Linked DNA regions of Alligator mississippiensis. The protein of the gene in region 2 purifies or fractionates together with the protein of the main gene of each other region. This does not show direct contact. Links are inferred from orthologs where the notes say so. Each region holds a gene or a part of one and is shown on either strand. Other genes may lie near its edges. The genes, in order: BICRA and SS18.

Region 1 (14,956 bases), on a different chromosome or scaffold from region 2:
GTGTTTTGGACTGGTTTTGCTACAGCCTGCTTCATCTCAGAAGCCACTAGCTGTGACGGAGCCACTACCTGGGTGGGGGATAAAATGTGCTGAGATTTGGTGATGATCTGCAGCAGGTGCTGCTGCACTTGTTTCTCTTCCTGGTTCCCTGCGGTTTCCTGGGATTTCACAAAAAACTGCCTGAAGAGCGGGCTGGTCGTATCCTGTAGCACACTCTGCTTCTGAGTGTCCTGAAGGTTCAACTCCCCGTGGTTCTGCCACCGATAGTAATCAATATCGCATCCATGCCTCTTGGTTCGCCTAAAGGTTTCCTCAAAACTGCTGAGCGTCGTTTTACTTGACATTTCCCCTGGTGAATTAAAAGTCATGGGGGTGAATGATAAAGTGTCTGGACACTCGTATGCCTGTGCAAATGAGTCAAATGCATGAGAAGGCCCAGCAAACCCATCTGAAATGTCCTGACCCGAAATAGCACACACTGGCATGTTTCTAATCCACTGGAAGTTCCCGCTGCACTGAAGGGAGTTTGCCGAGATCTTCTGACTTCGAAATAACGGGAAACAAGGTAAAGCACTATTTGGCCAATACTCCTCCCCCGTCGTCTCAAGAGGGAACTGTGGTTCTGAAAGCAGGGGCCTATTGGTCAGGTTTGTTACTAGGCTCTCCCCTGGGGCGATCACAGATAAATTGCTGGGATTGATTATGGCATACACGCTGGAAGAGGCAGTACTCTTTTGACAAGGATGAGGCTCCTTCAACACGTCACCTGTAGTTTCAATATGGGCTGCAGTGCTAGCTGGGAGGCATAAAACCTGACCAGAGGAAGAGGAGCAAGGCTGCAGGGACTCCTTCAAGTCAGTGTCTGAATGCCCCGCAAAGGATACTGCAGTTGATGGAAGTTTCTGATTTACGACGCTGCTCACAATGTGCTTAAAGAGGTCTCTGTTGGGCACGACAGAATTAGGTCTGGATTCCAAGCGCCCGGCCAGCTTCTCCGTGGTTCCCACACCGCCTCGCTCTGCTTGGACACGGGCATCGCGAGAAGGTGGTGAGGCCTCGCAGGTACCTTCGTCGCTGGGCATCTCCTTCAAAATACGCAGGCCGTGCTGAGACATTTCGTAATGCCGGCGCAGCGAGCGGTGGTCACAGTAGCTCTTGTTGCAACCCTGTTCTATGCAAATAAACGGTTTGGTTTTCTGATGTGTTAGCATGTGTGCACTCCTGGGACAAAGAAACAAAAAGACAGGAGCTTCATATTAAAACTACTAACACAAATGCCGTCACTTCTGATCTAAACTATAGCAGCTCTTGCATTCTTTAAATCCTTCCTACCAAACTCAGCACTGAATGTCAAGTTCAGCTCTGTGCAAATCAAAAGATGCACAGGGATTAAATCAAGGTACAACTGACCTCTATTTGGAACAGGTCCACAGAGGTAGGCTGCTTTTCCACTCTAGAAAGCAGGACTAAGATTCCCACTCTCCATCACTAAGCTGGGCAGTCTATCGGTTTCTGAATCCCATTCTAAACTTACCTCTCCCCCTTTCCAAAATTCCCTAAAAAGGTGTTTTTCACCAGCCAGCCTCACAAACTCACCCAGGGCCCTGTGAGCCAAACTGCATGCTTCACACACTGCAGACTGAAAGTTGTCACGTGTGTCTTGCTCTACCCTGCTGTTTTCATATTATGCCTGTGAAAACCTACCCAAAGAAAAGGGTAACACTAAAGGCATTAACTGAAAAGAGAGGCAGAACTGATTACTTAACAGGGCTGGCAGGGATCCTCTTACTGTGTGAAATGGAAAGAACCCTGACTGTCAGCCCGGTCAAGCACACAGGCTTTGCAGAGGAAAAACATCTTGCAAGTTAAACAGATTTGGTATTGGAATCGCTACGAAGATATGCACACGGTACTCCACAATGCCATTTTTGAGGGAAGGAAATGCTTTAAAAAGATGCATACTAATACTGTATTGTCATATGGATTTGAAACCTCCAGCCACTCCGCTGGGATTGGCAATTGCATTGCTCTGATGAATCAGGCTTGCTATGTTCAGTCCCGGACCACTGCCACTAGACTTAGAAACCAGAATACACTGTTAAAGGGACAATACCTTAAGAACCACTGAAAATAAGAAGAAATACTGTCCAGCAGTTGAAAGGTCTGAGATTCAGGGTATCAAATGCATGGAGAGGTAGTTTTCAATCGCAGTGGTTCCTAAGATATTGGCTGCTAAAACGACACATGGGAATTCACTGTCCAGTACAAGTACTTTCAGAAGCCCAAGCTTCTCCCTGGACCACTGATCAGAAAGAAAAAATACACGCTTGTGATTGCTACTCTGCTGCGTGAGATTGTCGCTCCTTCTCGTTTTACGTTGGTATGAGGCCCCTCCTGCACCACTGTACTCTGGGAACACCAGAACTAACTTGCATCTGCTCTTGATATAGTTTTGAAGTATAATTTGACAGTTTGCTGGCCTGCACAACGCCAACAGCAGCATACCAAGCCCTGTACTTGTGTCAGCCACTAAGCTGCACTGAAATAAGAAAATGAGGTCCTACAGAAGTAGATACATTCTACATTTCTTTAAAAAGCAACTGAATGGGATTATATATTTTTTTTGTTGGTAAATGCCTACATACAGGTGATCCGGACGCTTAAAAGCCTTGCTGCAGACTTTACAGACGTGTTTCCTCTCCTGGCTGTGAGTCAGACAGTGTTTGCTAAGGGAACTAGCACTGCTGAACACCTTCCCACAGAAACTGCAATCCAGAAATGGGCTTTGAGGAGAGCTGTGCTGATGCTTTCCTTTCCTGGCACTACCAGTATTGGATCTGCCTCTTTGTTCAGCTTCTTTAGGTGCTGGAGGGGCAAGAAGCCCCAGCTCTAAACAAAGGGAGAAAGTTACACTCATTAGGTCACACATGGTACAATATAAATGAACCTCACACCATGAATGTATTAATTTAACTTAGCCAAGTTGAAATACTTTTCTTTTAAATTCTCGCTTACCTTTTAGTTGGGAGCCTTGGTTACAGACTGAGATTCTCAGTATGAGCATTACATACCCAAGCTCTTGTTGTACATGGTCATTAGAGTCATATTAGGGGGCTGGACCCGATGATCTTGCGAGGTCCCCTCCCGCCCTAGTGTCTATGAAAATCCCCAGCACAGCCCTACCAAAATCCTTTGGACCAACAATTCCCACTGCTGTTCCAGTCCTGAGTTTTCCACACACAGCTCTGTCCTGACCTGCTACAACCTTTGCATCTTAGTCATCGCTCACAACAATGCTTGGCGGTTTCAGTTCTAAACAATGTGACAAATTCTGCCAAAATACTTTCCCTCTTTTGGATAAGCAGGGGTAAATAAGTTTAAAAAAAATGGTCTAGGGGCTAGGGCACAAGACTTGAAGAGAAGCTGGGGGCACTGGGCTTATTTAGTCTGCAGAAGAGAAGACCAAGGGGGATTGAATAGCAGCCTTCACTTCCCTGCAGGGGGGCTGCAAAGAGGATGGAGCTGGGCTGTTCTCAGTGGGGGCAGATGACAGGACAAGGAGTAATGGGCTCAGGCTGCAGCAAGGGAAGTTGAGGTTGGATATTAGGACGAACTGTTCCCCTAGGAGGGCACTACAGCACTGGAGCAGGCTACCCAGAGAGGTGGTGGACTCTCCATCCTTGGAGGTTTTGAAGACCCAGGTAGTCAAAGCCCTGGCTGGGATGATGTAGTCGGGGCTGGTCCTGCTTGGAGCAGGGGGTTGTGGACTAGATGACTCCTGAGGTCATTTTCTATGATTCTGAATAAGATACTGCTGAAGAATACTACACTTGAGACCTAATCAGAATTTAAACCGAGTCCATCAGATAGCCAACTAGTTAAAAATCTACTGAGCAATTTAAATAAAGGTTTATCAAGATACTCTCAGATTCACTAGCTATGAAACAGAACAAGAAAAGACAAAGCTAGATGCATTACAATTTTCACTATCATGTTGCCTAATCAGTAGAAACATCAGCACCAAAAGTTCTCAGGAAATATGTAACAAAACGTATATATTTTAGCACTACCAGTTGTGTCAGTCTCTTCTGTTTTCAAAATCATCTGTATGATCGCACATCCACATCTGCAATGATGCTACCCTGATCTTTAAAGAATAACATTTCACTATGGGCAGTCTCCTTTTTTAACTTTTAACTGCGGAACTGGAGAAAGCCAATTCTGCCAAACCTATTTCACAGAGAGCTTGAAATGCAAGAACAAATAAGCAGAATGTCTCTTCTATGCTTCAGGGAAAGCTAATAATGTAGATGTTAGCAACAGATTCAGCAGATCTGTCATTTTAATGTCTTTATATTTTCCATTTGCAGCTGGAGAGCAGGTTGTAAGGACTCCGAACAGAACATATTCCTATCCAGGGCGCAGTTTTAAGGAAGCGGAACAGAAGGGGAAGCATGACTATCACTCTGTAGTATTTTAACAATTATTAATTATTGTCTATATAGCACTATAAAAATTCATGGCAATTCACAGGTCAAGTAAAGACAGCAGGCAACATTTTTACAAGTGCCTATGTGATGTAGGAGCCTAGGATTCATTTTCAGAAAAATCATTTGAAAAAAGGTCTTTTGAGGTCCTAAATCACTTTCGAAAAATGTACCCCACGTCCTGCCCCAGAGATTATCGCTTAATGCACTCTAGCTTTGAAAATAAACTTCTGGGTATGCTGAACTGTAAAAAAAGACCCCCTGCCATAACCCTGCAAAACTATAACCCAAAGAAACTCCGACGTACTTACCATGCAAAGAAGGCTGAGAGTCAGAGTCAGACTCATTAAGGAGTTTAGCTGAATCACAGTCCTTCACTGAATACAAAGAGAGTGCATCTAAATTGTCCTCTAAAGTGTCCATAGCTATATCTGTGGCTGAAGGACTAGGATCCATATCTAAGCTGTTCAGGCCAGCATACATCATGTCTCTCATGTCTGAACACAAATCATGGTTGAGAGGGTCACTGCAGTTCAGTCTTTGACTCTCTGAAAATCCAGGAAGCTGCATGTGATACGGATCCATGTCCACCCACCTTCCGAGGTTTATTTGGAAAATTGGCTCTGGTTTCTAGTGGACACGGCTTAAAGACTGCATCGGAGTGTAGCAAGCCTCCTAAACAAAAGGTAACAGGGAAAAGTTAAACAGCAGAGATGAACTGATAACATTTAAAATAATCAAAGTGGTATCAGTAACAATAAATTAACACACATGTAAACCAGCCCTTATCGGAAAGGACTCAGAATAAATACTTCTGGTTTGCATTTTAGATACAAACGTGTGTTCAGATTGCAGCTATTAATCCTAGCAGTGAGGCCAAGCAAAAAGGCACCTTGTGTGCATGATTAAAAATTAAATAGCACCGTGTGTATGGGAAAGTCTGTGACCCAAATACGTTTGAAGTTATCTAAAGTTTCTTAGAACCGTCTAGCCCTCCAAAAAGTTCTGATTCTCCCTTATTTCAACAGGGCCCGAAGACATCTAATGCCACTGTTCCCAATGACAGCTCTGTAAGTATAGCGTAACATACTTGGAAAAAAAATATCCGATGAGGGACAGGGTCTGCACTGAGGTTTAATTTAATGCACTCTGCATTGTGCATCTATGCAGAACAGAAGGTACCCATCTCAGAGGTGAGATTCCCACAACTACCAACACAAGATTATTTACTGCTCTATCTCTTCCCTCGTAGCACCTGCGCTCAACACAAGTTTTCGGCAAACAAGTTAAAATTTTACACGAGGTGGAAAAACAGTGACACCTGGGATTACTTTGTTATACGTTAGTCTTTTTAGATACAGGTACTGAGTTAGATACGTCAGATATCCTTCCTTTGTTCCCCACTCCCATAGCTTGAAAAATATTTAAAATTTCTTTCCCGGTTTTTTTATATTTTCCATTGAAATGTGAATAAAAACAATCTACACAATGCATTTTTCTTAGAATTACATTCTTCTTCCTCCACCCAGAAGTTTTTAAATGGAGGGGGGAAAAAAACCTGGAAAAGTGATTTTAAGTTCTTTCAGGTAATGAAGCCACAAAACTATTTAAAAAGTGTCCAACTATTCCATGAGTCTGGCAAATCTCTTTTAAATCAATTGCAATTTTTGCCTAAAAAAAAACAGCAGGAACAGGGCAAAGCCATCAAGATAATTATTCATACAGACAAGTCAGGGATACCCACGTTCCCAAACACGAGGGAGAAATAACTTGTTGGAAAGTACCTCTCAATGCAGTTCTAATCACCCCCCCCTCCCCAAACTTAAACACATGCTTAGCATTATATTCATTATTCCCATCAGCTGCAATAAAACTATTCATTATGCATAACGCTAATCACAGACAGATGTTTTCACAGGATTGGGGCCTCAGTACGCCAGGAGCCAAAGAACTGCACCTCATTTTTAAATGAAGGGACCAATCATGCAACTGTTTACATAGGCTGGACTCATTTAGACTCAAGCTCGATCATATTTATTATTCAAATTAACAAACAGGCTCGGTTCTAACGCTCGGTTAACATTTGAATCTGCTCTGCAAGATGAAAAGTCCACTGCCAGCATTCCCCCCAAATCTAAACCTGATGCTGGCCAATGCTGTCTTCCCATAATTACGACACCTTAGGTGGCTGTGGGACATGTTTCAGACCTCTTCAACCCGCAGGTCGCATATTTAGGACTCTCAAGGGCTGTGCTTTGTAGTGCCGAGCTAAAAAGAAGAGAATATCAATTATACACAGCATTTCCTTTAATCCAGCCTTTATAAAAAAAAATAACATGGAGCGGTGAGGAAATGGAACAGCCTTGAAACTCAGCGCGCCACACTACGATGGCTTGAGACGCCAACATCTTACAGGGAACCGGGGACTAATTTATTATCGTGGTCGGATGCGCTCAAATTCTAGGTGCACAGGTCTGCGCTGCACCGGCTGTTTTAGCACGGAGAGATGCGAGAGGTAGCCGACACGGCATAAGGGCAAGCTGACGTGGAAGCTCTAAAGCGAGATGAAGGAACGAAAGTCTCCGTGCTAGGCCACGGAGGAGGAAGAGGCGAATCCGGCGGCTCTCGACCTCTTTAGACCCAAAGCAAACCTGGGAAAACAACAACTCCGAGCTTCCGCTCGTTTCTCGAGCGCAGAAAAATAAGAGCAATTCTCTCGCAAAGCATGGGGAAGACTGCAACGGAGCAGACGCTTCTCCTGTTTGATGCTCGGAAGTCTCTGCATCCCTCCGCTCGTACTGCGCGGCACTCTTCAGAGGAGCTCACATCCCCCCCCCCCGTTGAGTAGACCTGGACCCCAGTGCAAGGGAGTGGGGGGCACTGCTCTTGCCCCAGGCGGGGCCAGTGGCTCTGGTTGTATCCCGACCGAGGGCAAGAGGCTGCTGCCCTTATTTACCCCCTTCTTCCCCCTCCTGCATATTTACTCCTGCCCCGATGGGGGAAGAGGGGCCGTTCCCTGACCAGGTGCAGGGTTGTCCCTGCTCCTGCCCTTGCTGGAACGGGAATTTGCCCCACCCCTGCTAGAGGGTTGCTCCTGCCCCTACTGGGGGAGATATTTGCCCTTGTCAGTGGGTTGCTCTTGCCCTTGTTAAGGTAGATATTTGCCCAGCCCCTAATGAGGGTTTGCTCCTGCCCCTTCTGGGGTAGATAGTTGCCCCTGCCGAAGGGTTACTCTTACCCCTAGAGGGGTAGATATTTGCTTCAGCCCTTGCTCTTGCTGGGGTAGATATTTGCCCCTGCTGGGCAGCTGCTCTTACCCCAGTGGGATAGATATTTGCCCCAACCGCTGCTGGGATGTTGCTCTTGCCCTGCTGGGGTAGATCATGGCCCCTACCACTGCTGGGGTACATTATTTGCCCCTGCCCCTAACAGGGGACTGCTCTTACCCCTGCTGGGGGGGTGCTATCACCCGAATGGGGTAGATAATTGCTCCTGCCAGGGTATTTGCCCCTGCAGGAGGGTTGCTTTGCCCCAGTGTGGTAGATAATTACTCCTGCCCCAGCTGGGGTTGGTATTTGCCCCTGCTGGAGAGCTGCTATTGCCCCAATGGGGTAGATAATTGCACCTGCCCCAGCTAGAGGTTGCTCCTGGCCCTGCCCCAGGCCCTGCTGGAGGGTTGCTCCTGCCCCTGCTGGAGCAGATATTTGCCCAAGACCCTGCTGGGTGGGTAACACCTGCCCCGGCCCCCCCCGCCCTCGGGGCGCTGCCAGCCGCGGGGGTCGCCCCCACCCCGGGCCCGGATGGCGGCGGATGCTGCGGCCCTACCCGTCGCCTCGCGCCGCCGCCCGCGCACGCGGTCCAGCCCCGCCCGCAGGAACGCCGCGCATGCGCACCAGCGCGCGCGCAGCCTCCGGGCCAGAAGGGGAGGAGCCTCCTGGGTCACGTGACGCCTAGGCGGGAAAAGGGAAGGGGGAGGCGACGGGGCGGCGCCATGTTGTGGGCGGGGAAGACGAGGGCGCGAAAGTGGGGGGGGGGAGGAGCAATGCTGGGGGGTGTGGGGGCATAGAGGGGGATCACTGGGGTGCACGTTTCTGCTGTGGGAGGGCTGAGGGGGCCACAGGTGTGGTAGATGTTGGAGGAGCCTGGGGCAATGCTACACTGGGGGGGGGTGGACACCAGGGGCAGCGTTGTAGGAGGGGTGGGAGAAAGGGGGCACTGTTATGGGAGGGGTGGGGAACATGGTGGGAGGACGTAGGGGTCACTTCTGTGATGGATGGGGTGGGGGACATGGCACTGCTGCAGGAGATGTCAGGGGGGTCGCTGGACAGTGGTGGGCTGTGGGAGGGGAGTTGAATTGGGGATACAAGGTATAGGGGAGAAAGGGTATGAGCAGGGGAGGGGGAAAGGGGGGTGAAATAAGGGACAGAGGGAAGGAGATGAGCTGTGCAGTAGGAAGGCAGCCATGCGAGGAAGGTGTGATGGGGAGCTGCAAACAGGAGAGGTGTGTGGGGGCTTAGTGGGCACTGCAAGGGAAGACCTTAGGAAAGAGGCTTGGAGAGGCGTGTGTTTGGAGCGAGAGAGGGCAACAGCACGAGGGGGTCATGGAGCAGGAAGCAGGTGTGAAGAAGGGGGAGCGAGGAAGAGTTCTAGGGAGAGGAATGAAAACAACAATGGGGACCAGGGAAGTGCAACGGGTTGGGGAGACGGGCAGGGATTAACAGTTGAGCTAAAGGAGGGGCAGGAAGGGACTCCTCCCCACCCTGCAGAAGATAAAATTGAACTTGGTTGTGAACCGAACGCCTTGCCAAGACGATAGCGGTGCACAGACCAGCACAAAAATACCCAGATATGATCAACGTATGCTTCCTTAGTGGGAACGAGCCGTGCCAGTTGTAAAACATGGTTTTTAGTGGCTTGGCTGGTCCAATTGAGGAATCCGCACTGTGGCGATGCTGCTGGCGTTTGCAAGTGAGGATTCCCGTGCCCATCGTGATATGAGAAGGTGCTTTGTTTCGGGAGGTGACATGAGAGACACCACTACCTTCATTAGGTGTGTACAGCTTTGCAAAGTGGGTCACTGGATCAGAATAATAATGCATGCCTCTGCTGGGTATGTCAATGCGAAGAATGAGCGCTAATGTCTGTTTGCAAGATCAGCATTGCTTCCCTTTGGGAGAAAAAAAATCCAGTCCAAATCTCTCTCTCTTTTTGCCTATTCAGCACTCTTCTTCAAGTTGCATTTGAAGAAACAGCCTTTATCAGGAGGGTGGTGAACTATGTGTGCGTTGCCTCATGAGTCAAAAATGATTTTTATGTTGGTATTTGGCATCAGATATTTGGTAAAAACTTGATGTGCATCTGATTAGCTCTTCAAACATTACATTTCTTTTGTGGTGAACTTTCCATCTTAAAACACTCCGATATCATCCAGAGAGATGTGAGTTTATGTTGTTCACCTTGATGTTGTGTTAATTTTATTTCATTCATGTTTTGAATGTGGTTCATGATCTGTTAAACCAGCAAAGGTTAACTGTTCAGTGCCTGACCAGAAAAGCAAATCAATGCACTGTTTATAGTAGGACTTCCTGCATTCAACTAGTCAATTATTTCCAGCTTCTACTCTTATAGCCTTATGCCCACAAAATGTGAAGAGTGACACTTGCTACTATTCATGATAAATGAGTAACTAGAAGGAAGGACTAACATGTCAAGACTGAAAGACGGGCATGGAGTCTACACACACAGTTTAATTAGCATAAGTGTAAATTCATATATCAAGAGCAGGTTGATCTGTAGGCAGGTAGCTCTTCATAGTTGCATCAGTTAGCATGAGACATTGAAGAAGTCCTGGGGTATAGGACTGGCAGCTCCCTGAACTGAGGGTACCTTCATCTTCCCATCTGCATTCAGGTAATCAAACTCAAAGCCAAGGGCTGAACATAGTTCAGGGAGAAAACAGATGGCAGCTGACTGCAGGAGCCAGACAGGGAGCTCTGGAAATACAAGATGCACCTACATATGCTGTTTTTATTGTTTGATTTGGTGTTTAAAGCCTGCTCATCTGCATACATGAAGACTTAGCCTATTTTATTACAGCTTGCACCAAAAAAAAATCCTTAATAAACCTAGCATACAAAAAAATCCCTCTAATTAAATTAATTTCCTTTCCTCTGCTGAACACAATTATGTAATTTAAATACATCTCAGTCATTAAGTTTCCCATTTAGGATAGAAACTGAATTAAAAAAAAAAAGTTAAATTTGTTTTCACTGTCAAGTTAGAAATTGGGTCAAGCATCTCTCTCTAGCATGAACTCAAGTTGGGCATTAAGTTGGCCCCATATATATTTTAAACTCTTTTTTTTTCTCTGATAGAAATAATTGCTCCTTGCCTCAGTTTCTCCATTTGTAGTAGGGGAATTATACTGATGTACAACACAGGGCAGCTGTGAGGCTTAATGAAATCGTGTTTGTAAAATGCCTGTACTTCAAAGCCTTCAAATCTAGCTTAAAGTCATTGTAATTATGGTATTGTAGTCTAAATGTAATTGTATTGTAATTATTTATATGCATGTCTGTAATAAGTACCTCCAGGCTGTTTTGGGGACCATTCTCCTCTTTCCTATGATTGAGTTATTTAATAACGTTATTCTAAAGAACTGATCCGATTTTCAACCTGGTAAATCTGGTAGAATATCCCCTGTCCTGGAATATGTTCTAGGCCATTACTGCTCCCTGAGTAGTAATAACGTTCTAACTGTACCAATGAAAAAACTCTATTATCAGTGTTACAGCCCTGGTCCTGCTGAGAGAGCAGTCATCTGGAGTCACCTGTATCGCCGTAAAATAACTCAGAAGAGAAAAGACAGAGGGAAAAAGATCACAGAACTGAACGTAAGTAGTCTACAGTGCTTTTAAAACTATGCTGTTGCAGCAGCTGCCTCCTGTTACCATAGTTCAGTAATTAAAGCAGAAGCCATTTACAGCTAGGGAATTTGTTTTAAAAATTAAGGGCCAGCCTTCATATGAGAAGCCCTCACTGATGTAAATAGCACCATAAAACCAGGGTTTGAAATGGCTGAGATCTGCAGCAGCATCATTACCAAAAAAAAAAATTAACCTTGTTTATTTAAAATGGAACAAATAACATTCATGTTTTTTTAGGACATTTTTATTCACGTGTTTACACAATGTTTTAGAGTGAGTTTCAGGCCATCTAAACTTGAAAACTGGAAGCTTCATAGAATTCCTGACTGATCCTTTGCTATTTTATTAGCAGCAAGAATGAGTCTGCTTTAATAAATTGAATATATAATGCTTATATAAATCCTTTAATCCAGAAATCTGAAATTGTTTTACAAACACGGATCAGAGTTGCATCTTGCAAAGCAGCCCCAAGTTACTTTATCCATTTGAGAGCTGGGTAAGCCAAGGCAGAGGGACGCTGGTTCGGCACTGCAATACATCTCGTGCAGACATTAACAACATCGTGAAGTGGGTGTAAAATCCCACTGCTATGATTCAATACCATTTTTCACCCATCTAGCTCAAGAGACACAGCAGCAGTGAGTTGGTCCCAGAAAAATTCTGTGTGACACTGTAATTAATTATGTTTAATGGGCTAGATCTTTGGCTCCATTGATATTAGTGGGGTTGTAAACATTAGGTTAATTAAGTTTTATTTAGTCTTTGTAATGCTGCTTGAGGTCTTAAGTCAGAAGGAGGCCTGGTAACTTAGTCGTTGGAGCACAGGATTGGGATGGCTCTGTCACGGGTCTGCTGGTGGTATGTCAGTTTGCCAAGCTGTGCAAAACAAATAAGGACCCTGCCTTATTTGTGAAGTGCTTTGAGGTCTGGCTGTTGATAAGCACTATACAGGAACTAGCTGCCTCTTATCATCCTCTTCTCTGCAAAGTGCTAAGTATTATTTAACCTGCCTCTCTGCTCTGGTTTTGAAGGGTGGATTCCATGGGCCAGATTTTCTGCTGCTATCAAGGAGCAATGGTGCATTCAGGTCAGTGGGGCTGCATCCACTTACAAGAATAAAAAACATTACCTTAACAGGTGTGCCTAGATGAGTGCGGACGCTTGGTTCTTTGGGGACAAGTAGCAAACCATGTGCCCGAGGAACGTCCATGCCAGATGTACTCTGCACACGGCAGGTTACCCCAGGTGGGGTAGCGGAGGCTGGGGCCAACAACTGCTGGTTCTTGCAGCCTTACCTGGGGTCCTCCCATAGCTGCAGCTGCAGCAGGGAGCATGGCTCCAGTGGCCAGCCATGCTCTGGCACATGCTGCCACCACGTGAACCGCTCTGCCTTTTTTCAGCGTGGGTTTTTTTTGATCCCAAGATCTTCCAGGGTCAACCCCTTCCCACCCCCACACACACTACAAGGTAGCAGCGTGGGAAACACCTGCACATGCAGCGTGTGGCGCCTCAGATGGATCTACAGAACCGCGTGCCACACATCCATGCTCATGTGGATGCAGCCCAGCTAGTCCACTATTTGAAATAACTAAGGTCACTATCTAAGGTGCCCCAACAGTCTCAGCAGCCTCAGGATTGACTCGACTAGTCCAAATAGTAGACTTTTGCAATGGGGAACCCTCTTGCCACTCGTAATTTATATTTTTCTTTCTTTTGGTCTCTGGAAAAGAAAAGGGGGAAGCGCCTGTTAAGTTAGGGAAATGAGATGCAATTGGAAAAAAACCTTTCTTTACCAAAAAAAAAAAAGAAAAAATCAATATCAGCTTCTTCCCATTTGGAAACATGCCCTGCTCCCGAAGAGCTCGGTTAAGGGTAGCATCCTTTCAAGAAAAGAAGCCAGTTTTAGCAATCCTGCCCCTCTGGGTTAGTCTAATTAGCAATACTTGTGGCTTCCTGCCAGGACCTTTTAGTAAAAGATAGACTTCATTGGATTTATTCAGCTTTCCGCCTTCGGGTGGAAGAGCTGAAATAAAAATGGAAAAAGAAGAACCCAGTTCACGTGTGATTAAGGGTGTGCTTCATTGCGTTCAAAAGCCATCAAGCGATTCAGATTGCACCGTAATGTAGCTAAGAAGAGGAAACACCATGTTTCACCCTCGTTTCCCTTTCTCCACCCTTTTTTTTTTTAGTAATGAGTATTGCTCCAATCGGTTTGCCTTCCAAATTAGCGTAGACATCTTGCAACAGAAGCCGTCAGTTAGTCTCCCACGGTGGTTTGGCAAGGCTGCTCGCGGGGCCTTTTCTCAGTGCTACAAAGCCCGTCCTCTCTCCTCCTCCTGTGCAACTGTCACCGCACTCGGTTCACCCTGTACTTTTATAGCGTAACGCACCAAAATATAACCCACTCCCACTCCTAGCCCCACCCAGGCCTAAACAGAATGTATATCTAATTCAAATCCAGCCAATGGAAGGGTATAAACAAAACCGAGAGCCCTGCCTCTCAGAGATTAATTATTCACGCCGGTCAATCACATTTAACCTGTCTAATCAGGCTGCCGGCTGATGCGTCTAGCCCTTCCCCTTACTTTCCGAGCTGCTCCACTTTTGGCCAATCCAGAGCGGGCCGCCTTTCCCTGGCAGAACCAGTTTATAATTGGTATGCCGAGGACCTTTGCGTGAGCTGTGCTTTGTGCTGCCTGAACACGGAGCCGGTTCGAAATTGCGTCTGAAAGTACAGTGGGAGGGCAAAGCTGCTGGCTCACGTTGGGCACTCTCTCGTGCCTCTCATTCAAGCCAGCCAGAAAATTTTGCTGCCTGCTTTTGCTCCCCTGCTCAGCCGCCAAAACAATATTATAAATAAATACAATCTTGTGAAAGGACAGGCTGCTTTTCAGCAGTTCGAGCTGGGCCCAGCCCCGCAAACTTTTTATTGCCCTATCTTCTGTACCTGATCTTGCTGGATATGCCCCGTCCTCAGCCAGTATGTGAAACCCGACGGCTACGTGATTAATTTAGTCGCAGAAGTGCTAGAAATCCTGTTTTCAGTCAGCTTGGCTGTACAGTATAAGGATGACTAACACTGTTGGTTAAAACAATGGACTATGGGGGCAGGTCAAAATCACCACAAAAAGCAGTGTTCTGTTCCGTGCCTAGAAATCTTTCTGATATCTGACCCACGAAAGGTCTTTGGGGAATCCAGAGTCACAACTGCAGGTGCTGTTTTCCTCCCAGTTAACCTGCTTCCTCCACAATTAGAGCAGTATCTCCCTCTGAACCCACTAAAGCCACAATCCCACTAACACCTAGAGACATGCTTAATTTAGGCGGCGTAAGTTAAAAACGGCCTTGTTTCCAGAATCAGTTCAGGGATGATTTACGAGACAAGAGTATGAATATAGAAACTGTTGGTAAGCGGTACCCACCGCTGGTCGCAATCCTGCCTCTTCTCCAGGATTTATTCTAGATTTTTTTGCTGAGCCAAGATTTAGCGTGGCAGGAACGACCTGGTGAAACTTCTCTTCTGAAAGGATGATTCATAATTAC
Region 2 (15,152 bases):
CAACTGGTTTAAAAAAAAGGAAAAATAAATAAATAAAATGTGCATTTTGTGTGAGAAAAATTAATCCCCAGAGCCAGACAACATGGCCCTGAACACAGCCCTGGAGCACTGGGTCCAACCTGACACATGGCCCTGGACCTAGTGGGCAGTCCCCAACTCAGTCCAATCTGGCATGTGGCTTTAGAGCCAGTACACAGGGTCAGACTCAGTGTGCAGCCCTGGACCCAGCACACTGGGTTACTGCAGGCCAGTGTGCAGGGCTTGCAGCGGGTATGGCTCCCTATCTGCTACTATTCCAGGGGTGGGCAAGATGCAGCCCACAGCAAGTCCCTTGGCCCCACCTAACCTAGGCACAGGGGGCAGCCTGGGCCATGACATGCAAGGCCAGTCCTGCCGCCCCAGTTGTGCCATGGAGCAGAGGCGGCATGGCAGCCCCTGCAGCAGCAGCAGCTCACTCTGCCTGACTGCCAGTGCCAGCATCTCCACCGCCAGATCCGGCCCCACTGCCTGTACACCCCAGTCCATCCACCCTGCACCCACAGCTGGGAGTGCTGGATGGAGCAGGTGGGCGGTGTCTTTCTGGAAACTGACCTGGGCAGGGCACACTCGGCCAGGAGGATGGGCTGGGGCCGCCGGGTGCGGTGCCTGAAAGCAAGATGGGCAGTAGGGGCCAGGACTGTGGGGCAATGATAGCACAAGGCCAGGCCCAGAGCAGGGCTCTAATTTGTTCCTTGTACAGCTCTATGACAGTCACTGGTTCCAAAGGCAGAGACATGTATGGAGTTGATCACAGCTCTGCCCCAGGCCCTGGCTCTGCACTGTCACTGTCTGCCCGTGGCCCCATCTCATCTGCCCAGTCAAGTGTGCCTTGCCCACAGGGGTCCTGGCCAGTCTTGGTAGAGACCCCACCTACTTAATCTGGTACCCCCAATGGTGTATGCAGAGCAGACTGGCCCAGAGAGGATCTCCAATCCTGGCAACAGCTCACCAAAGCTCCTTAAGTGGCCCTCCAGCCCAAATAATTACCTAACCCTGTACTACTCACTTACTACATATAAAGAACCTTTTTTCTTCCCCTCCTGTCAGATTCCCTCAAAAAACAAAGTGCATACTACATATAGGGACATGTTGTACGTGTGAAAAAACAGTACTGTGTGTTCAACACTGATTTTAAGTATGCAGTGAACTATTTTCTATCCTCTGATCAAGTTACCACATAAATCAGATACTTGAAAATTTGGCCAGAATGTCACACATTTGGACACAACTGCCCGCTTCATTTTTTTTTCTTTAAAGCCACACCATGAGTTGCAATTCATTTAAAAAAAAAAAAAAAAAAAAACCCAAAAAGAAAAAAGGCTAATAAGATACTGCATGTAGCTTATTTATAAATGTAGGGAAGAAAAAGAAGATACTAGCAAGAAATTGACATTTCCTGGAAGATTTCCTATATAACTTGAGAACCACAGCTCAAACTCATCTTATCCCAATACTGTTTTTCTTGAGTAGGAACTGCCTCCAGATTTAACTGCAAATAAAGAACTGCCCACTAATGACCAGAGCAAGATGAAACTCCTCTCTACTTATGATCAGGACCAGGATATAAATTACAGAAGACCTAAACAATAAAGGAGGTAAATAAATTAATTGCATATTATGCAATGCTCAAAAAGAGCACCAATAAGTAGATTTCTTTGGACAGAAGACCATGTTCCTATAGTCCTTTTGGTTGGCAATTCTTAACCAGGGTGCTGTAGCAATCTAGGGTGCCTTAAGATCCTTTCAAGGATGCTATGCAATGTTAGCATTATTAGGTGTCCAAACATATTTCACAAGATAAACCCAAATATTTCAAATAAGACTCCATTGTGCTAAATACATTCTGACCTCCTGTAATCTGTGTGGCCCACAACAGAAAAACCACTTTCTTAGTGAAAAATAGGAGTTGACATTTTTGGCAGGATGCCTCAAGTCTAATGAAGTTGAGAGCCACTACTCTAGGTACTCAGTGAAAGAATGCTCCACCCCTGATAAGAGCAGAGCTCTCCAGAGACACCAGAATTTTAGTTTAAAAACTGATGTGATAACCTCTTGTCATAGAAGTCAAAAAGAGCATGTTGAAGCAGCTGGTTAAATTTCAACTTACATTACCAAAAATAAGGAACTTCCTAGAGTTATTCAACATTACAGACTTTTTTGTTTGGGTCTATGTTGTTATACATAAAGTTACCAAGGGAAGCAAAGAGGTGGAAGCTATTATCCCTCACCATTCTCTTTGCTTTCCCATACATTACAGCAACAGTCACTAAATGACCAGGTTATGAAAATAAAAAAAGGGGTGGTGATGGTAATTTATATCCTAAGGAGAGTTGCAAGAATATCTATTCGCAAAAGTTCCAACTAAAAACCAGTTTCAAATCAACATCAAGATTTTAAAACTGAAGCACTGAAGATCAAACAAGAACTCAAAGGTGAGCCCGTGCAAATTATCTTTGACTTCTTTATCATAATACAGTGCCATAAACTGATGATGCAGAAATTACGCAAGAGCCAGTTAGAGGCCAAATTAATTTTTGCCAACTGAGGTTGCCATAATGTCACTCTGTGGCCATGACTTCTCCCAACTCAGCACACATATATAGAAGACAGAAAACTGTTACAGGAGCTGGCTAAACCTGCAGCAGTGGAACAGTTTCACACCAAGGACACCCTTAGTTCAGGAGGTGAGAGCTTTCCATTGTGTCAGGCCAAAGGCATCTGCATGCTATTTTTAAACCACAGGACTAGTTTTAACTTGGCTTGAGAGAGAAACATAGGGGAAAAAAAAGCTGTGCAGTGAGAGCTACTGGCTCCAAGGACCTACATGAAGAGATTCCCTTATCCAAAAATTTGTGTAGTCTCCTGTTGTTTTCTCATACTATCAAAATTCCATATGGATGACTGTCTCAGTTCTAATATTACTGCAAAAGGTACTCACTGCTGGTAGTAGAGACTGCATATTTTGATTGGAGTCTGCTATAGTGGCTAGGTAGACCAAATTCGTATGCAACATCTGCTGATACCTATCAAAACAAAGCATGACAGGTTTAAAAGGAGCTAAGAGACAACAACTTTTTCATTCACGTTCTCCAAGTTTACATATACAGTAGATACTATATGGTAACTCCACTACTCCCATCAAGGTTCAAAAGATCCTGGGAATTATTTTATGAAATCGCCCATTTTCCACATTTCCATCTCTGCCACTAACCTATGTTTTGACAATTCAGAAAAAGGTTATGCCTGTACATGTTCTATGCATTCTTCTAGCACAACAGAAACAGAGGAAGATTACATTTAAGTCTCTGCTCCAGGTAAGTAAAGGAAGCTAAGCTGCATAAAAACGCATATGCATTGTTACCGCTTGACCCACTGGGTATCTACAGTGCTGTGTGAAGACATAGTGAGCCTCCTTCACACAGGGTAGCTCCGTCAGGCACAGTATACCTCAGCACAATACTGGCATATGCTCTGGAGACACACGCATGGGTACTACTTAGCATAGAACTCATTTCTCTCTTATTTGCATGCCTCAGCAGCAAGAAATGATACCTACATGCAAATCAGGATCAGGGATATCATATGCAAATGATCAGGATTTGCCACAATTTACCCCCTGTTGCTGCTGAAGTGCTCTACACTCTGGCTCTTGCCATCAGCAATAATTGTTCATGCAGTCAAGTTTTTAAGCCTCTATTTAAAGGTTACAAAGAGCCTGAAACAGTGACTTAGGTGTGCAAACAGTACTCACACTTGGAGCCACATGGACTTTGTGATTCCAATTGGGGCAATTTGGTTATCAAAAATCACTTTCCACAAAATGCATCTTTTTGTTGCAAAATGGCTGCACGTGGTACAACTAACATTGTTTTGTTTTCTCTCTCTAGAACTTCTCTCCCCCTAGCCCCGCCTTTAATACCTCCTGCTTTGTATTTTTCACAAAATAGAAGAGAATTTATAGGGTTATAATACATGATTCTGACACACTTCTACAGAACCAGGCAATAAGTGACTAAGGGTCCTGGAATCTAGATTATAGTTCAGGAGCAAAAGGAACCAAGAAACACAGACCAGGCATCTAGGCTGCCAAAAATTAAGCAGCAGTAGGAGAGACAATAAACCACTGAAGATTATTGTAAATTCCCACCTTCCCTGGCAAACAGAAAGCAAGAAAAGGTGATTTAAAGCTAAGTACCCAGCCAACATTATAATTACTGAAACCCATAAACAAGACTGTGCAGAGAACACCAGGGAGAATTATTAAATATACCTATTAATATCTGGTAGAGATATTTTCAGCTACTGCATGCACGCATTTAGCTTATAAAATGCAAATCCAACCAAAGTCCTATTATGCCTCAGTGCTCTGTTGAGAGACCTGGATCTCTTCAGGCTATACAAAAGACGGCTGAGGGGTGACCTTGTGGCCGCCTATAAATTTATCAGGAGAGGACAGCAGGGAATTGGGAATGCGTTGTTTACCAGAGCGCCTCAGGGAGTAACAGGAATAATAGGTGCAAACTAGCGGAGAGTAGATTTAGGTTAGACATTAGGAAGACATTTTTTACAATAAGGGTGGCCAGAGTCTGGAATGGGCTTCCAAGAGAGGTTGTGCTGTCACCTAACTTGGAGGTCTTAAAGAGGAGGCTTAACAATCACCTGGCAGGGGTCATCTGACCTAGGTCCTCTTTCCTGCCAGGGGCAGGGGGTCAGACACGATGATCCACTGGGTCCCTTGCGAGACTATAATCTATGAATCTACAAATGCTGCTTCCCTAGTAACCTAAAACACTGAAAATTAAAAGCACCAAATTCCTGCTAATACTACTGTTAACCTTATGTGCAGAGATACAAGCACGATCTTTTAGTGGGGCAGCACTCAAAGAACGAGCAACAGCAGCAGGAAGGAGTTGTTTGAGTGTCACTCTCCAATCAAGCAGCATTTGAAAGCAGCACAAAGTAAATGCAGAAAGTTAAGATGAAGGGGTTTGTGTTGGTACTTTCTTAACATTAATTAACTAATTCCAAATGGAAATATAACCAACTCTTCTTGGCCAAAAACAGGCTTGTCATTATGCATTCATTTATAGCAAGAAGAGGTCACATTTGGTTGGGCGTAAAAGTTTTGGATCCATTTCAAGTTTCCTCTTCCATACTCTTGTTTCTTCCCAATTTTTTCAAGTAATCTAACCCTTCTCTTCAAGATATGATTAAGACACTGAAACATATGCAAGAATCTATATATTTTTGGTTCTACACATTTTATTCCATCTAACATATGCTAATCAAATTAAAATAGAACTTCTGTCGCTTTGAAAAAGAAAAAATAAATATTAATAAGCTAAATTTAAAAAAAAAAAATCAAGAACACAGCATCATTAGGAATGTTTTTACAAACTAGTTGGCACAATTCTCTCATGGGAAGATGTGAGCACACTGGAGTTTAGTTACATCGTTGATTTTACTAATTACAAAAATACAGTCAGATTAACATCTTACTGAGAGCACTCTGAGGTCTTCCCTTTATTCTGATAGTCCATTATACACTGGATGAGATGGTTATTTTCATCCAACATCTGAAATAACAAAAACATAAACATGGAATAAGTTTAAACACTCTTTGAAAAGGAACTGAAAAAGCGATACTGACTTCCACTTCCTAACCAACATGACTGTTCAAAAAGTGCTTTTATAAAAGGGGTCTGCTACTGCATCTGTAGAACTTTCCCCTCCTCTTATCCTTCTCTCCCCACTTTCCATTTTTAGGGCTGTGTGTCAAGTCACTACTAAAGTTACAGTTGCCAAAGATTTTCTATTTGAGCATCTATTGTCTTCTTATTTTAATGTTTCAAAAGACTCCACATTTGATCTTTGCTCAGATGCTTGTTTTGGAAACTCTATGAAAAAAAAAAAAAGTCCTCTTCCCTACTAGAAAGCAATGTTGATTTAAGAACAACAACACATATAGGCAAAAAAAAAGTTAAAAAACTTACTTACAAGTAGCCCTCAACACGAAGTGCTTTTGAAAAACAAAATCAGAAATTATGAAGCATTTTATTAATAGTTGGCATAACTGGTATGATTTTTCTACCAGACTGTATATGCCTTTGGGATTGTGAGTTCGCATGTATTAATGTTTTAGTCAGAAGCTATTGTCATGAAATAGCACAGCTCCTACTTATCCACAAAAAGGACTCTTACAAGTTTCTCAATGAGTGCACACCAACTGCAGGTGCTTCCTCAGCCTGATGACGGGTGTTTAAACCCGGAAGCTTGCTAAGAAACATTTTTTTCAACTATTTCAGTTGGTCTAATAAAAGATATCAGATGTGCCCACAGAAACCTTGTCTGCCTATGTCTTTAAACCAATACGGCTACAACTTGCACCCCTCCAAAATAATGAAAGTCATAACAGCCAGCCACACGCATCTCCAGGAGAAAATTTCTCCTCCCACTGAACTTGAAATTTACCCTGAAAGGCAAAGAGAGGTGGCAATACCATGGAGCTCATTAGGCGCTTGGCTACTGCTGGAAGTTTTGCACCAATGACTCTCAAGCAGGACGTTGCAGCGCCATGGGGCACGCCACCTTAGCGCAGGAGGCGTGCAAACACGGCTCCTCACGCAGGAACGAGGGGCCACAACACAAAAGCAGCAGGTCTTCCGTTCAAAAAACAAACACTAAGTTTTTTTTCCACCCAGCCTGTCCCTGGAGAGCCGAACTTGCTGCCCCCGCGTGCTGCGGAAGCCGACGCTTGAAGCCAGATGCCCAAAAGAAGGAGTGGACACGTTCCCGGAGGAGAGGGGCCGCGGTACCCATTGAGCCGCCCGCCGGGGAAGCTGCGCGGCTCTCCTTCCCGCCGGGGGGAGCGGAGGCAGGGCCGGGCGGACGGGACAGCCTATCCCTCGGCACAAAGGCCGGGAAAGTGCGGGGCGGGGCGGCGCGGGCCGAGCCCCGGCTATGCCCACCTCCGCCCACCCGCGGGCCCCCGGGGGCAGCGCCCGACCGCGCCTCACCTTCTGGATGGCGGCTGGGGTGATCTCGCCCTTCCCCCGCTGCCTCGGGGCCGCGAACGCCACCGACATGTCGGGCCCCGCGGGCAGCTGCGGCCCCAGGCCCGGCGGATGGGGGCGGGGTGGGGGAGGCGGCAGCTCCGGCCCATGAGCTCAGCGCCACGGCAAGCGGGGGGAGGGGCGGGCTGTCGGGCCGCACCATTCGCATCCCGAAGGAGGGGGGTGAGTGCACACCCCGGCAGTGTAACGCCTCTCCTCCGCGCCCTGCAAGCAGCCTATGAGGAGGCCCCGAAGCCACAGCTCCTCCGCTACGCGCGGGGGTAGGCGGGTACCGAAGGCCGGCTTTTAAGTGCGTTATTTTGGTGGATCCATTTCCTCTCCTCGCCTCTCTTCTCCTCTTGGGACGTGGTACGTTCCTACCCGACGCTCGTCCGGCTCAGAGTAGGCGGCAAGTGGTACGGCCCGGGGGGGGCAGGATGTTCATGTGACAAGGGAAGGCGCGATGTCTCCCCCCTCCCTCCGACTTGGTTGCACCCAGGCAGGGAGCACGCGGGGGCGGGGCCTGCTGGCGCGCTCGCAGCTCCGCGCTCCTTTGACTGCTCAGAGCCCGAGCCCGATGGCGCATGCGCAGAGCCCACGCCGGGCTCCCAGCGAACCTCAGCCTCACGCGTCTGTGACGCGCGTGGGCTTCAGTTCTGTGCCACGCGGGAGAGGGCAGGAGGCATCTGCCCCACAAACCTGCCCTTCACTGGCGCCAGCTGCTGCTCCATCCCCTGCTCTTCCAGCTCCCTCCCCCGTCTGCGGCAGAGATGCCCATTCTCCAGCCATGCCACAGGTGGCTGCCCTGGGTCCAGGAGGCTGGTGCCAAAGAGGAGAAACGTGCCAAGCTGCCACGTTCTTTGAAGTCAGCTCCTGTTTGCTAGAGACAGTGGGAGACCCAGGCGCTGCCTCAGGCTCTGGCTGAGACACTACAGGCTTGCCTTACTCAGCCTGCACTGTCTCCAGGGCCAGATCCAGGCAGGTGCAGTGATGTAGCTGCATGAGCGTTGCCAAGTCCTAAATATGAAATTATCATACTGGAAGTTCAAAATTATTCTATTTGCTGAAAAACTATGGTATGCTGAAAAAGATGCAAATAAGTCTTCTTATTTACTTTATATTGCTCACTATATTATCTGCAGTGAGTGAGTGAGAACTGGGTCATCAAAGTTGAAACATTTCTTTATTTTGAGACAAGTAGTAATACAAAAGTACTAGAAGCAAATCCAGAAGTAATGGATAGAGGATTTATATATATATATAACTTTATATAAATAAATAAATATAATTACAAAAACAAACAAACCCAGAAGTCATTTAAGACTCCCTGACAGTGACTTGGGTTTTGCATATGCTGCAGCAATAAGCTGTCTCAAAAATTAGCATACGTTTTGGGGGTTCAGGTTGTTGCTGTGTTGGTCTAGGGACACAGTCAGACAAGGTTTTTTTGGTAAATCCAGTATCTTTTACCAAACCAACTTAAATACTTGGAAAAAAATCTTCTTAGCAAGCTTTCGGGTACCAACTGAATGGCTTTCTTGCATAGGTACTGGCCTCTTGCTGCTTTACCACTACATCCAGGAAGAGACCAGACCATCTGAAGATGCTTCCTCATTCTGACAAAGGGTGTGTGTGACTGAAAGCTTGCTAAGAATTTTTCCAACTATTTGAGTTGGTCTAATATATCAGATTTAACCAAAGAACCTTGTCTGCCATCATACATGTTGCAGGGTGAACACTTTTACTATTATTGATTGTACATCATACAGGGGTTGAAACTCATACAAATATGATAATTATCATACACCTGGCAACATTTCGCTGCACACACCACCCCTGGCCCCCACTTTGATTCCTGGCTCCACCCAAAGTTTAAAACCAACAGGCTGGCAGTAGCAACAGCGTTTCTCATCTGGCAATGCTAAAGGTGTCAATTGATTTCATTGCTCATTCGTATCCACCTGATTCCTTCCAAATTCTTCATCCCATTGGTGCTAAACTACCCTCTCTCCTTTGAATTGCCTTGATCTACCCATGAAGCTCACCTTTGTTCTACAACACTGCTGTCTGTTTGCTGCTCCTAGGAATGTAGCTCCTATTGCACAGCCCTGCAGACTCTTTTTAACTCATTCCAATGAAGTTATACTTGTTTTTACATCAACCTCAAACAATATCACAGCCCTTGGCCCCTAGCATATTAGTAAAACTTGTAGGTTCTTTTTACCTGAAGAAAAACATGGGTTGTTACATGTGATGATGCACCTCACAATGTGCACCTCCCTTTTCAAAATCCTAGATCTACCCACTACCTCCCAAACCCCAAGTAGGCTATGAGCCCTGGCACATGCTCAATGCCACACTACAACTGCACTGCTACTGGGTCTGTGTGCTGTTGGAAGTTACTATTGTATTCACCCAATATCCTCACTTCTTTCATGCCGGCTATGGTTCTCTCTGCTCTCAGAATGGCATTTCCTTTGCCAGGCCTCTGAATTAGTATCCTCAGTTGACCTGATGCTCATCTGGCTGGCTGGCTGTACTAGAATTGCCTTTGGTCCAATCCTTTCAGTCCAGGTCATTCTAGGGAGGTAGGATAGTGCAAGAAGATTCACTACACATTTGCCTAGGATGTTTCACTTACTGTATTTAATATTTTACTTATCACCATGTTATCTGCATTAACTTTACCTCTCTAGTTCCTCTCCTTTGCCTTCCTCACACAGTTACAGTACTATTATTATTATCCTTTCCTTAGCAATCTTTTGTTTTCATATTATAATGTAAAGTTGTAAGGATTCCATATTCATTAACAGTAACTAAACTCAATGAAAATATAGGCAAGATACTGCAGGACTGTTTTAGCATAGAAAAGAACATTCACACTCAAAGCCTACATTTAAATAATAGCACAAGATCACACAAGCAAGAAAATAAATAGCTACAATGAAAATGTGCCACATGTCTCAGAACACATAACCACAACAGGGTGTCTTCTTTATGACTTTCTTAATGTACTACAATATGCCTAGATATTGAAGGACATATGGCATATTTTCTCCTTAATTGCACATTTCTTTTCTAGTGTGAGTTAGTTACCACCTTAGCATTATTTAATTGTAATTTGGATGTGTAAATCTAGATCACCACCAAGAGTTTAAAACGTGAGTATATTTTATTCAGTTGTTTCTCCCACCTCTGCTCACCTCACTTTGAAAAGTATAGCCTCCTTATTGTTATGAAGGATTTTGATGTTTTCACATCTTTTTTTTTCTGTCCGTTACTCTATTTCCAAGATGACAAATAGCAAGGAGAAATTGTCTGTGAAGCTAACCTTGGCAGAATAGTACATATGACCTCCTGAAAAAACTACCTATTGGGATTGAGTTAATGGCAAGTGAGGAATTTTAGCCCCTTCAGGACAGGACCAAAACTCATTTAATTGAGACTACTTTACTTTTGAAGAAATCTTTCTTCACTTTACATATGAAGAAACCTATGGATTGTTTCCTACTGAGATCTTGTAATAGTACTGAAAAATGTATCCTGCTGCCTAGCTCTTGACTAAGTCCACTGTCTCTGTGTCAGCTTTATTTGAACAAAATTATCTGAATTAGAAAAGCCAGGCAAGAAGAGGGATGAAGAAAAAATCTACTTCATGACCAAGCAGGCACAGAGTTGCTGGCTAGACATTGTAACACTACCGTTTTCAAAACTGCCAGGCAAAAAAGAAATAAAAAACGGGAAAGTTTCAGGGTGCCTCCACCTGCTTTTACCTTTTTGATAGAAGGTTCCAATATCCATTATAAACTTTAGAAGGACTCTAACAAACTGTGTGTTTATCATGACTCCCCAGTAAAAGCCTGGATATATTGCTGACAATGTGCAGTGCTTATTGTACATTTACCTTGGATGGGTGAGAAGCAAGCAGAGTATCTTTAAGAGCTTGTTTTGATACTTTGGGTTTATTAGCTCTGGTTAATTTAGAAAAGTTAGTGTATTTGAAGCCCTTGCCAGGTAAGACTGTTTTCTCATCTTGACATGAAAAAAAGAAAACAGAATATTTTAAATTAACAGCATGAGCACAAAACAGCAGCAGCCAGTTCTAAGGGAGTGACAGGAATCAAAATTTGATAGCTGTGAAGGAAAATCCAAAAAAGAAGAAAGATTAATTTTGGCATAGTTTCTCCCCAAGTTTTCACTGACTGCTGTAAGCCTGATCCTGGAACTGTTTGCTGTGTCAGTGAATTCAGTTGCAATGCAGGGCCAGCACTTTGAGTTCTGCCTATTTGAAGGGGTGGGTTTTTTAACATAGTCCAAACTGTGTTTCTAAACATTTGTTTGTTAACAATATACGCAATGAAGAAACACAACCTGACTGGGGGGAAATGCCCTTTGATTGTGATTTGGTGCAACTCTTTTGGTGCTTTTTACACGGTAAAAGGGATTATATCAGGAGTAGAAAGTTGTCTTGAATTTATTGTATTCATTGGCTAGTTTCTTTTTGCCTAGTTCTTTCCATTTTGACATTTATGTTTTGCTTTGACATTTGTGTAGAATATTAATAAAGAGCAATGCTTAAAATATGAACCTATGTGTTCTGATATAAAATGAACAAGCCAAATACTATTGCACATTACAATGGTATTGGTGGCTCTATCGTCTTCCAGGGAGACTATAACAAAACCAGAAAAAATCCCTGTGATGCTAAATTTTTACTATAGTATCTGTCGTGTTAGTTGCAAGTGTTAATATTTAGAATAAAAAATGCATGCCATGTTGAACAGTCAGCATTAATGGGAGCAAACAGCACCATTGCAGAGAGAAAATCTTTCAGAGTCCTGATTTTATTCTTCAAAAGGGAATCTCAAACTAGTAGGAATGTATGCTATAAATAAAGAATAACATAAGAACGTCTGATGTAATCCTCCTTAGAGCTGAACATTATATAAGAATTCCTAGAGATTAACATTTTATTTCACAACACACAGGGAAAGTACTACAGTGCAGTGACTTCACTTGTGAGCGTCAGTAACAAATCAGAAAAGACACATAAGGGATGCCATCTACTACCAAGCATTCCTGTAGCAAAAATAGCAAAGATGTTGGTGACTTGCCTGCTCCTCTGAAAGGCAATAGGATTGTGGTGAAGAGACTTTCCTGCAGGGGTTTGTGGCCCAACATAATTTAGACCTATAGCTGAAAATAGAGGATAAACATAATCATGGGATAAGAGTGGAACAAGCATGCTATTGTTTCTTGTATTTGAATTTAGCATACTATGGTGTTATGTATTATAAGGCATAATGTGAGAGACATCCCATAAAGCATTCACTGCAAACTAGTACACTGTATTGAAACCCCAAAAGTTTGGCTGGAGGGCAGCGCAGGAAGCATAGCACTGAAGCAGCAGAGCCCTCCCAAGAATCACAATAGAAATCAGCCAACCTGGTCCTTACCTGAGGGGAAAAAAGGACCGTCAGCAATCCCTACAGATAGGTAGTAATGGTACTAGACACAGCATCAGCCACAGAAGTCCACACCACCTTTGCAGATCCCTCTTCTTCCTTCTCCCATTCTCAGTCTGATTTGATTTCCCAGTTTAACTCTAACTCTAACATGTGCATCCTTTTGGCTTTCTACTTTTCAGTTCACTTCCTTTGTTCATATTACCTTTACATTGCTTTTTCTAATCTCAGAAGTGCAATATCATGGACATTTTTACCATATGTTCTTTTGTGATAAAACTTAATTTCTATATATAGTACCAACTCAGAGTCACTGTGTATTTCATTAGCACATCTTCAAGATTATTTCTTTTGCTGTTAAATGAAAACATGCAATGAAACACAGGAGCACGAAATACAAAAATAAATCACCTCAATGTTTTTGTCAGTGTTATCATCAGTGGTGCAGTTTTTTTTCTATGGGACCTGAGTGGCAAGGAAAGCAACAATACACTGAACTCCTACAAATATGCTTTATGAGTATTACTATACTTGAAAAGAGTTTGAGAAAATCTGCTCTGTAACTAAAACCTCCAATGTGTATTTAGTAGTAGTGGAGTGATGTGGTAGCTGTGATGGTCCAGGAATTATGTGAGAAGCCAGGATTTCTGTGGATGATAAACTCTTATTGGACCAGCCACATGGCTGAGATAGACTTAAGCTTTCAAAGGTAAAGCAGTCTTTATGAGGAACATTTATTTATTATTTTCCACTCCTTAAGATCCTTTATGTCCCATGTGATTTATGTATTTAAAATGTTCAGATAATCTTGGAATTGGAAGCATTTGGATTCACCGGATACATATATACATACATACATACGTACATATATATGCATCCGGTGAATCCAAATGCTTATTGGAGGTTTATATATATAAATAAATAATAAATTAGTGTGTGTGTGTGTGTCACACATACCATACATTATATATATATATATATATATATACACACACACACACACACACACACACACACACTAATCCTATAATACATATGTGATATATGATAAAATATATAACTATACATATGTATAGATGTGTGTGTATACATACACATCTATACATATATGATAGATACACATATGTATCTATCATCTGTCATTGGTCCAATAAAAGATACCACCCTAAGAAATCCTTGCCTTGCATGATTTCTGGACCATTTCAGATACATCACTCTTACACTACTGTAGGTATGTATAAACACACACACATCTATACATATGTGTATGTATGTACGTATGTGTGTGTGTGCATCTCATCCAATGCACTAAATGCCCTGATGGAAAATACGTAGGAGAGACCAAACAACAACTGTGCACCAGAATGAACGCACACCGGAAATCCATCAAAGACAGAAACACCCAATTACCGGTGGGGGCACATTTCTCACAGGAGGGCCACTCTCTCTCCAATCTCTCAGTCCTGATCCTCAAGGGAAACTTACACAACACTTCCCAGAGACGAGCCTATGAGCTCCATTTCATCAACCTCCTGGATACTGGAGATCATGGACTAAACACAGACATTGGATTTTTGATACATTATAATCTTCCTGGCAACTGACTCCCCAGCCCAGCCCCTGGCTTCTTCACTTTTCATTCCATCCAGGAAGAGCACACACCAACTGCTGAAGCTTCCTTAGCCTGACGAAGGGTTTTTGAACTTGAAAGCTTGCTTAATAACTATTCTCCAACTATTTGGGTTGGTCTAATAAAAGATATCAAATTCACCCAAGGAACCTTGTCTGTATACATACATATACACACACGATAATATGTGATTTATTATACCCAGTGTTATTAGCATTACTATACTTGAAAAGAGTTTGGGAAAGCCTGCCCTGTATCTAAAATCTCTAACATACTTACAGACAAGGTTCTTTGGGTTAATCTGATCTCTTTTATTAGACCAGCTCAAATTTGTAGGACCAAATTTGAGCTGGTCTAATAAAAGAGATCGGATTGACCCAAAGAATCTTGTCTGGCTGCATCCTGAGACCAACACGGCTGCAGCCAACACCCCTGTAACATACACGGGTCTCTGAGCATCTCCACCTGAATGCATCTATACACAGCAATACCTAAACACACTCGTGTATTTATCACATCATAACACAATGCCATATAGATGTCTGACACATCTATCAACAGACGACATGGCATTCTATAAAGGCAATCAGGACTTGTAGTAGAGATGATATCTTTTATTAGCCCTTCAAGCTTTTTGCAAAAAAAATATTTTTTTAATTTCATTTTTAAAAAAAGATATCATCTCTACTACGAGTCCTAATTGCCTCTTCCTCTAGCCCGACACGGCTACAACCTGACTGCATTCTATATACACGCATACCTATACGCGCGCACACGCTCAGTGATGGCGCACGCGTGAGGCTGCGGCGCGCAGCCCACGCCCGCCGCGCGCCCAGTGCTGTGAGCAGGACCCCCGGGACAAGGGGAGGGGCCGATGCGGCCACGGCCGGGCCCCGCCCCGCCCTGCCCCGCCCCGCCCCTGCCGCACCACGTGCCGGCTCGGCTGGGCAGGGCTGGGAAGAGCAT

What was found.
Region 1: the proteins of SS18 (region 2) and BICRA purify together in Homo sapiens (affinity purification with mass spectrometry; 3 studies listed by BioGRID and IntAct, counting the BioPlex papers as one, with this or other methods). This does not show direct contact. The link is inferred for Alligator mississippiensis from reciprocal best matches to the Homo sapiens genes SS18 and BICRA.

The regions. Positions count from the first base shown.
Region 1 is NC_081838.1:1,744,574-1,759,529, reverse strand, and holds the start of BICRA (BRD4-interacting chromatin-remodeling complex-associated protein), read left to right. Parts: upstream 1-8,922; 5' UTR 8,923-9,537; intron 9,538-11,272; 5' UTR 11,273-11,380; intron 11,381-12,444; 5' UTR 12,445-12,500; intron 12,501-14,956. Other genes in the region: ZNF541 (zinc finger protein 541), read right to left, coding at 1-1,221, 2,646-2,889, 4,799-5,072. UniProt on the Homo sapiens protein: Component of SWI/SNF chromatin remodeling subcomplex GBAF that carries out key enzymatic activities, changing chromatin structure by altering DNA-histone contacts within a nucleosome in an ATP-dependent manner.
Region 2 is NC_081826.1:85,080,682-85,095,833, reverse strand, and holds the start of SS18 (protein SSXT), read right to left. Parts: upstream 7,206-15,152; 5' UTR 7,125-7,205; coding exon 7,056-7,124; intron 6,848-7,055; exon of another isoform or gene 6,551-6,847; coding exon of another isoform or gene 6,539-6,550; intron 5,616-6,538; coding exon 5,539-5,615; intron 3,063-5,538; coding exon 2,978-3,062; intron 1-2,977. Other genes in the region: PSMA8 (proteasome subunit alpha-type 8), read left to right, coding at 15,151-15,152. UniProt on the Homo sapiens protein: Appears to function synergistically with RBM14 as a transcriptional coactivator. Isoform 1 and isoform 2 function in nuclear receptor coactivation. Isoform 1 and isoform 2 function in general transcriptional coactivation.